2 linked regions of the Caenorhabditis elegans genome follow. The protein of the gene in region 2 interacts with the protein of the main gene of each other region in a pairwise test. Each region holds a gene or a part of one and is shown on either strand. Other genes may lie near its edges.

What was found.
Region 1: the proteins of rpn-8 (region 2) and rpn-9 interact in a two-hybrid assay, tested with the Caenorhabditis elegans proteins (3 studies listed by BioGRID).

Annotation. Positions count from the first base shown.
Region 1 is NC_003280.10:11,236,860-11,240,710, forward strand, and holds rpn-9 (26S proteasome non-ATPase regulatory subunit 13), read right to left. Parts: upstream 2,061-3,851; 5' UTR 2,060-2,060; coding exon 1,965-2,059; intron 1,916-1,964; coding exon 1,336-1,915; intron 1,287-1,335; coding exon 900-1,286; intron 850-899; coding exon 748-849; 3' UTR 588-747; downstream 1-587. Other genes in the region: FUN14 domain-containing protein fndc-1, read right to left, coding at 1-34, 101-237, 290-460; T06D8.9 (Store-operated calcium entry-associated regulatory factor), read left to right, coding at 2,859-2,934, 2,984-3,213, 3,266-3,654, 3,709-3,851.
Region 2 is NC_003279.8:4,173,371-4,177,840, reverse strand, and holds rpn-8 (26S proteasome non-ATPase regulatory subunit 7), read right to left. Parts: upstream 2,523-4,470; 5' UTR 2,519-2,522; coding exon 2,399-2,518; intron 2,346-2,398; coding exon 2,201-2,345; intron 2,157-2,200; coding exon 2,071-2,156; intron 2,011-2,070; coding exon 1,954-2,010; intron 1,845-1,953; exon of another isoform or gene 1,777-1,844; intron 1,487-1,776; coding exon 1,358-1,486; intron 1,309-1,357; coding exon 910-1,308; intron 864-909; coding exon 711-863; 3' UTR 570-710; downstream 1-569. Other genes in the region: R12E2.13 (MIR domain-containing protein), read left to right, coding at 1-47, 97-186, 250-423; mrps-6 (Small ribosomal subunit protein bS6m), read left to right, coding at 3,102-3,146, 3,210-3,355, 3,405-3,483, 3,652-3,870; R12E2.11 (Orotate phosphoribosyltransferase), read left to right, coding at 4,218-4,470.

The sequences.
Region 1 (3,851 bases), on a different chromosome or scaffold from region 2:
ATCGGAAATGTTGATAACTTTCTTGCCGGATACTCTGAAAAATTGAATAATATACGATTTTCGTTTTATTCTATTTTTTTTTCGTAAAATTCAAGCTTACTTGTTCATGACGGACTTGTGTAGATTTTTCATGTCTCGTTCGATTTTTGATTCGTTCAGCGTGATGTATCCTTTGTGAATAGCGAATTGAGCCAACAGGAAAGAGATTCCCACTGTGGCAGCAACAAGACGTCCTCCCTGAAAATATTTAAAAATTAAATATTTCTCTAGAACCACCAATTTTAAATACCTTGGTGACAAAATATCCAGTCACTGTCCCGAATCCAGCACCAACACCCAGCTGGACCATCGGCTGCTGCTTTTTCAGATCAACAACGTAGTAGAGGACTGTATCGATGGCATCACTCACACCTTTTCCGGCTTTTCCACTGCCTCCGTCGTTTTTTGAAAGATCAACCATGGCTGGAACAATCACAGTACTACATTACTCGAAGACGAAGAGAACCCGAATGTTAAGTATTGAAAAGTACTAGTGAACTATTGACACGGTGTTAGTCACATCTGACATCGAGAAAATTCAATATATTCACAGTCGATTAATTTATGAATTCAAATAAATACACACAGAAAGAAGACTGAACGATCTTGAAATTGTAGAATACACGTAGCAGTGTAATTATAAAAATAGAGGATTCCGGGATTGGGATGGGGGAGCATGGAGAAAATAAATTAAAGAAATGAGATGATTTAATTTTGAGTGAGAATCTCGCGTGCCTCTTTGCTGACGATTCCTTCCATGGAGTTGACATCGTTCCTCCATGCGGAAATGCGAGTCGCCATTTGCATTATCTGAAAAAAAGAAAATAAGTATTTTAAAAACTTATAATCAATTCTTATACCTGAGGATTATCTAAAACTCTTGGCTGCACCCATGTCACGTAGACAACTTGCTCAACTTGATTGATATCTCCACGAATGAGATCCTTGCTCAACGCCTTCATCACCAAGAACTCAACTTCGTCGAATGGGATCTGGCACTTCGTGGCGATTTCTTTGAATGAAACGCTTCTGGCTTTGGTTGGACGAGAGACTGCAAGTTCCATGACAGCCATCAGACGGATTTTGGCAGTCAGGAAATCCTTTTGCTTCTTCAAATCGTCCCAGCCTCCCCAATCTCCTTCGAGCGAGAAGAAGCGCGTCAAATCTCCCGAATTGAAGGCAAGAAGCACGTCCACGATCCAGCGTTCACGAGTTCCTTCGAGCGATTTGAGGATGGGGTGAGCAAGCTGAAAAAACCGTTTATTGGGGGAATTTAAATTGAGAGTTTCAACAAACCAATTCTCCGAAGTTGTGCACGTTTTCTCCCAGAAGAGCAGCGAAACCGAGAAGAACCGCATGGACTTGCTTCTGTTCTGTTGTCAGATTATTGGCGTCCTCAACTCCAAGATAACGAAGAGCTTCGCGATAATATCCAGCGAAGTCTCCAACTTCACGAAGATATAAAGATGAGACGCGGTAGAACGGGGCATGAACTTCTGTAACTCCGACAAGTGAGTCCACTTCGTGTTGTGTCGAATCGATTTGAGTTCGAATGCTCTTCAGATCAATAATCTGTCCATTTTTGTCCTTGTTCTCCAGTCTGGCTTCAATCTCTCCGGTATGAAGTCGAGCAACGGCAATCTTGTCCTTGTTGATGACGTTTCCAATTTTTGACAGGAATTCCATAGATTTTTGCTTGTCCTTTGTCGCGATATTTTGGGCGATCGAAATGCAAATCTCGACGAGCTGAAGAGGGTTGACACGCAGCTCCCACTCCGCCACGAACAGTCTGTAGAATTCGTGCATGTCCGTTGAAGCCACAAATTGTGGCTTCTTCACAAGGGATCGTGTCAGAACCGTTAGTTGATGCCAGAGCCTGAAAATTAGTGAAATAGTTTGTGTCTACAAAAACAATTGATTCTTACTTTTTCTCCCAGAGCTCCTTGAGATTCTTCCAGTCATCGGCCAGAGGTCCATTGGCAGCCGCCAGCTTTCCGTTGAGGTAGTCTTGAGCAGTCATCCTGAGAAATTCTCGATACATTAAAAATTGAGACGAGAAATGAGTGAAGAAGAAAGAAAATGAAGGAGTAGGAGCAATCAAAACAAAAATGGATTTCGAATAGCTAAAATGAACATTTTTGGCGAGCGCGCTCTCACAAAAATCAAAACAAAAAACTTTTTTTGAATTTTATTTGTCAGCAATTAAAGGCGCATGGCCTTTCACTTTGGAAATATCGAGACGCGAAAGACAATGTTTTCGGTCACGGCCATATGTCTGCGTCTACAGTCTCTTCAACATATGCGATAGGGCGCGCTTGCAACAATTTATTTTTCTTAATTTATTTTATTGTTTTTTAACAGAAGATATTGTTTTTAAAGTGCGAACACCCTTCTCGATTTATCCGCCAGCTGGCAACACAGCTTTTCAGGTTTTCCTTCCAGATTTGTGTGTTTTCTTCTTGGTTTATAGCGAAATCTGATAAAAATCGCAACTCTGAATAAAAATTATGTCAAACAAAGGCGTTGCTGTAAAATTGTGTCCATCCAATAGATTTTCCTCGCTTATTCTCGTATTATCTTTTTTCTTGATTTGCAAAAAAATGATCCAAGTATTTCGAAATTTCTGAAAATTCCGTGTTGTTACACGTCACATATCCTATCATTCGTTTTCTTCATTATCATCTTTTCTCCCTTTCACTGCAACGCTTCAAAATTAATCTCTGGTGCTTCGTTCTTATCTTCCGGTACTATTTCAATGTTCATACTACTTTCTATTGATTACTCGTTCAAAATTCCTAATTGTTAGTTTCTTTTTTCAGATGATCTCTCGATTTACAACGAGTTTCCTTTTATGGATGCTTCTGGTGTTCACAGTGGTATTCTTCGAAACTTCTGGTAAGTTTTTCTTTTGATTATTTGTTTCAATAATACAAATGAATTTCAGCGGCCTCTGACAAAGTTCTTCTTCGCGATGTATCAGCAATTACTCTACACAAAGGAAAAATGACGACAGGACGACGAGTTTCTCCAACCTTCCAGTTGAAGTGTGTCGGTGGATCCGCGAAAGGTGCCTTCACCCCAAAGGTGGTTCAGTGTGCAAATCAAGGTTTTGATGGTTCGGATGTGCAGTGGAGATGTGATGCAGATTTGCCACATGATATGGAATTCGGATCCGTTAGTTTTTTAAATATTTCCATCTCGCTTCAAAAAATGTTTCTTGTTTCAGATCAGTGTTTCATGTGAAGGATACGATTACGCAGAGGATCCATACATCCTGAGAGGATCTTGCGGGTTGGAGTATGAGCTCGAGTACAATTCTGCGAGCGGTAACAGATCAGTTTCTCGAAAGTCATCCCAGGATCGATGGGATCAGTTCGCCACGTTCGTCGTCGTCGCCTTCATCGCCTACATTATCTACGCGATGTGGACTAACAGAAATCAGAACCCAGAAAGCTCTGGCTACACTTCTGGTGGATCAGGAGGTCCTGGAGGCCCAGGATCCGGCGGAGGAGGTGGTGGTCCAGGTGGTTATCCAAGTGCTCCTCCACCATATGACGACTACTCCAAGCCACCGCCATATGGGTTCCGTGGTGACTCGCAATCTGGAGGTGGATGGTAAGGAATTTTAAATAAAAATGACCTTATTTTCATTAAAATTAAGTTTTTCAGTCAGGGAAGTTCTAGCGGAGGAGCAAGTGGCAGTGGCGCCAACAATGGTGGATCGTTTTGGACTGGAGCAAGTCTAGGAGCCATTGGAGGATACCTGGCATCCAGCTTCCTCAACAATAACAATGCCTACGCCCGTCCACGAT
Region 2 (4,470 bases):
TCCTGCATTCCCATCATTTCACTGCACCTCTCTCCAAACAACATCAGGTTTGTTTGGCAATTCGAGAAAACAAATGAATAATTTGATTTTTTAAAGGAGGTCTCCGCTTTTGGCAGCGAAGCAGAAAGTGACACGGGAGATGATTGGACTGTGATTTGCAACGGAGATGAGTGGTTGGAATCCGAGGTTTGTTACATTCCTTTTCGATATTATCTATACGTTTTGAATACCCTATATTGTTCACTTTAGCAATTCAAACTTCGCCACGCTGTCACTGGTTCATACCTCTCACTCTCGGGACAACAATTCGGACGCCCCATTCATGGACAACGGGAGGTCGTCGGCACCGACTCGATCACTGGTGGAAGTGCATGGAAAGTTGCCGAAGGCATTTACATCAAGCATCAGCAAAAAGATCTTTAAATCCACATTGGATACTCCTAATTTAATAAGCCATGCCTTTCTTCGTGATATTTACCATTGCTTTACGGGGATGTTATCTTTGTTATTTTTTCTAATAAAGTTATTAGATTTTGTCTTCTGAAAAATTATTGGCAACTGATCTAAATACCGGGGATAAAATACTACATTGATGCACAGAAAAATAAAAGACCGAATAAATTAAATGTATATGATGCGATAGGGTAAAAGAAAAAGAGATTGGTGGAGAAGTGGACATGAGGATACAATCAATGTTCTGAGTTTGTTTATCACTTCTTTGGAGTATTAGGGGTTGATGATTTACTGTCCTTTTCCTTTTTCTCATCCTTCTTTTCATCCTTTTTGTCTTTCTTATCCTTTTCATCCTTCTTTTTCTCAGCTTCGCCAGTTTCCTGCTCCTTTTCAGCCTTCTGGAGAGAGATCTAAAAATCATAGCTTTTAATAAATTTTAAAATCTTTGCAAATCACCTTGTTATCAATTAAGTTGTGCAAAGCGACCACCGATCGTACAAGAGATCCCATATACACACACATGAGCTGATCATTAGTTTGCACATTCTGTGAAACAATGTAGTCTGGATGAGTGACGTCAGGCAGGAGATTGAGAACTTCTTGAACATAGTAAATGACATGATGGTTGACTGGAAGAGTTCCGCGCACAATATCATGAAGATACTTCTCAATGGATTCAAGCTGTGATTGCAGTCCTCTCAAGCCCATAAGTTGATCGGTGATACGCTGTGAAAGAGTTCCAGCAGTTTGGTCCTTGATATCTCTCAAAAGATGCTCGACTCCAACTTCCTCAGCTTCTTCGGCTCCGATATCTGAAGGCACATGCTCGAAGGTTTTGATTGGTGGAGTTCCATCCTACAAAACAATATATTGAAAAAAAATTAAACAGTATTTTGAAACGTACATCGTGAACTTCCTGAACTTCGATGTAAGCCTCTGTTGGCAATCCGATGTTCTTTGGCTCAGCATCGATAATTACAAGAACCGGGTTCGGGCAGAATCGTTTCAATTGCTCGTTGATAGCAATATCGTTCTGTAAAATTAATAAATAAATAATTAATTAAACTGTTGAAGTTGAACACCGTAATTTTGCAAAAATCAGGGTGGCACAGAAAGTAAGGCGGAGCGTAATTTCGCAACACTGTGACACGGTTTTTTCTTTTTTTTTTGTCAGGTATCCACTGCATTTTTTTCGATTTTTTTCAAAAGTTTTGATTTGATTTGTTTTAAGTTTTTTTTTTTTTGCTTTGTTGTTATTTGCACAGTATAATTTCAAATTTAAACAAGTTCGCGCTCCATCGATCATGAAACCGTAAAAACGGGTATCAGAACGGATATTATCGGTTCATAGAGATTCAGAGCCCAGTGATCCGTATGCAGTCATCACAAACCCGAGTGGAATGAGAAATCGAACCAATGGCTGGAGGCGCAGAGTGTGTGCCTGCTAGCCACTAGACCACTACGCGCGTTGTCCCCGTCTCTTTTTTGCCTCTTATATACCTTGTGAAGTTTTGGACCCGTATGATACCATCCGACGATTTTTTCCTTGGCGGCAACCTGTAAATTCATTTTTTTTGTTTAAAATTAAATAAAAACGAGATTTCAAAATTCACCAACCTTGTAGAACATTCCATACATGCTCTCCAAATAGTCCATGTCGAGGAACCATGTACTTTTATCCTTGTCATCTTCATCAAACGGAACTGAAAATTACTTTATAAGTAAGCAAATAAATTTTTAAAAATACCAGCAAAACTGTTTCCAATATCCAGAGTTTTGTCCTTTTTCATGGACCCCAAAAGGACTCCAACAACACGCTTCACGCTTTGAGTTTTGCTGACACGATTGAAATGATCAACAACACTCAGAAGAACCAATGGATGGACGGTCACCTTAAATAATTGTGTTTATTTAAAATCGAATTTTCTCGCTCAGGTATGCTAACCTTATTAACGGGAAGGTTTGCATGAACATTTCCAAGGCAATGATGGGCTCCAGCCTTTTGTTTGAGAACATCTACAGCTTTGACAGTCGCCACATCTCCGTCTTTGTTAGTTGGAGCCATTCTTCTAAAAAACGAAAATAAATTTATCACAATAAAAAATCAACACATAACAGTTTAACACGTTAATAATCGACATAACAGTGAGAAACGCTTAATCATTGCGGAAAAACCTGCCATAAACGTATCTAGAATATAATTTGAATGAAAAAATGAAAAGAAATAAATAAATAATGCTTAAAAACGACAATTTCCCGCTTCCCGTTCAAAAAAGAAATATCATCGTTTAAAGGCGCATGCAATTTCCCCGTAAATCGACACTGGCCGTGGTGAGACCCATCCCGTATTTCCACTTTATTTTTCCTGGTTCTTTACTTTAAAATTAACTTTTTTCGATTGCAATGACGGAAAATTAACTTTCTAATGCGAAAAATTGAAAATTGAACATTTATTTTATTGTTCTAGTAAATTTTTGTTTAATAATCTTGTGTTCACAGCCTGTCGTTGAAAAATGGCAACTTCCTATTTTGGAAAAATAGCTTGTGCTGTGATTTCTTATCGTGATTTTCATTGACATATTTCCAAATTCGTAGCATAGAAAATATTTTCAGTGAAGAAAAAGCATTCATACTGGGCGAGAACAACAATGCCGTTTTATGAAGTGAGCATGATCACACGATCTCTGTCAAAGGTACAGAAAAAACACGATGAAGCGTGAGAATGTGTATAATCATGAGAATATTCTTTATTTCAGGCAGATCTTGTTAAAGCTTTAACGCGTGCTGGAAACACTTTGCTGGATCACGGAGCAGTAATTGAAAAGGTTGAGTCACTGGGTCATCGAGATTTACCGTATAAACGGCTGGCCAAACAGACAAATGAGCCCGTCTACGCTTCAAAGTAATATTTAAAAACTATATATCTTAAAAAAATTGTTTGTTCTTTGCAGTTTCTTCCTCTTCAAGGCGCACATGTCTCGGGAAGCTAGACAGAAAACAAAGTCTATTTTGACACATGACCTGGACACGGTGAGTTAGTTAAATTTCATTATATATTATCTGATGTTGATGTATGATCGGGTCTTATTGTTTAAAAGTTTTCTTTGTTTAGATTCATTTCGAATGTTGTTTTGTTCTTTTTCTAAATTAATTTGTCACTTTTTGGTCATTACAAAAATCTGAACCATATTTTTTCAGGTTCAAGTCGATCTAATTCAAGTGGACACACTGCCGGCTCCAAAGGTTGAATGCAATCTGGAAGAAATCCTCAAATCTCCTGCCGAACGTCAAGCAGTCAAGGATTTGAGAGAAAATCAAAAGATGGGTCATTTCACGCGACAGATGATCTACAAACGTACTGAAAAGGAGTGGAAGAGTATCCCGAAGAGTTACCCAATTGCTCCGCCAAGGCCCTAGACATGAAATTCGTAATCGACTTAAATTTACGGGTCGAAGATCGCCGACAATGCACTTTTGGCCACACCTCCTTATGATAGTGTTATCAAACGAGGCTATCTTTTCGTACTTTGCGTTGTCTGTTTTCTCGATTCTTCTGTACAGTTTTAGGATTTATAGAGTGATTTTTGTTTTCTTAAAGTTGAATTGATTTGTTTTGTTTCATGAATATCACATTTTTATTTATTTATTTTTCTTCCTTCAAATCACGTACCTGGTTCATCTGACCAAGTGATATTTGTTCACTTTTCTATTGAAAGAAAATAACCTGTTTCACATTGATATTCGAAAATTGTTAAAAATTCAGAATGACCGCCGCCACCGCTACCGCCAACGGAAATCACTCAATCGAGGATCCAGTCGTCATGAAAGTCCAGGCCGCTTCACCAATCCAGGAAACTGATTTTTTCGAGAATCTCTATCAAATGGAATGTTTTCGCACTGGGGAGTTCTACCTCAAATCTGGCCAGATGACTCCAATCTACATAGATCTTCGCAGAATAATGAGCTCTCCTCGTGTGCTCCGAATGGCTGCTCAAGCTATGTGTGAGAAAATTGTCG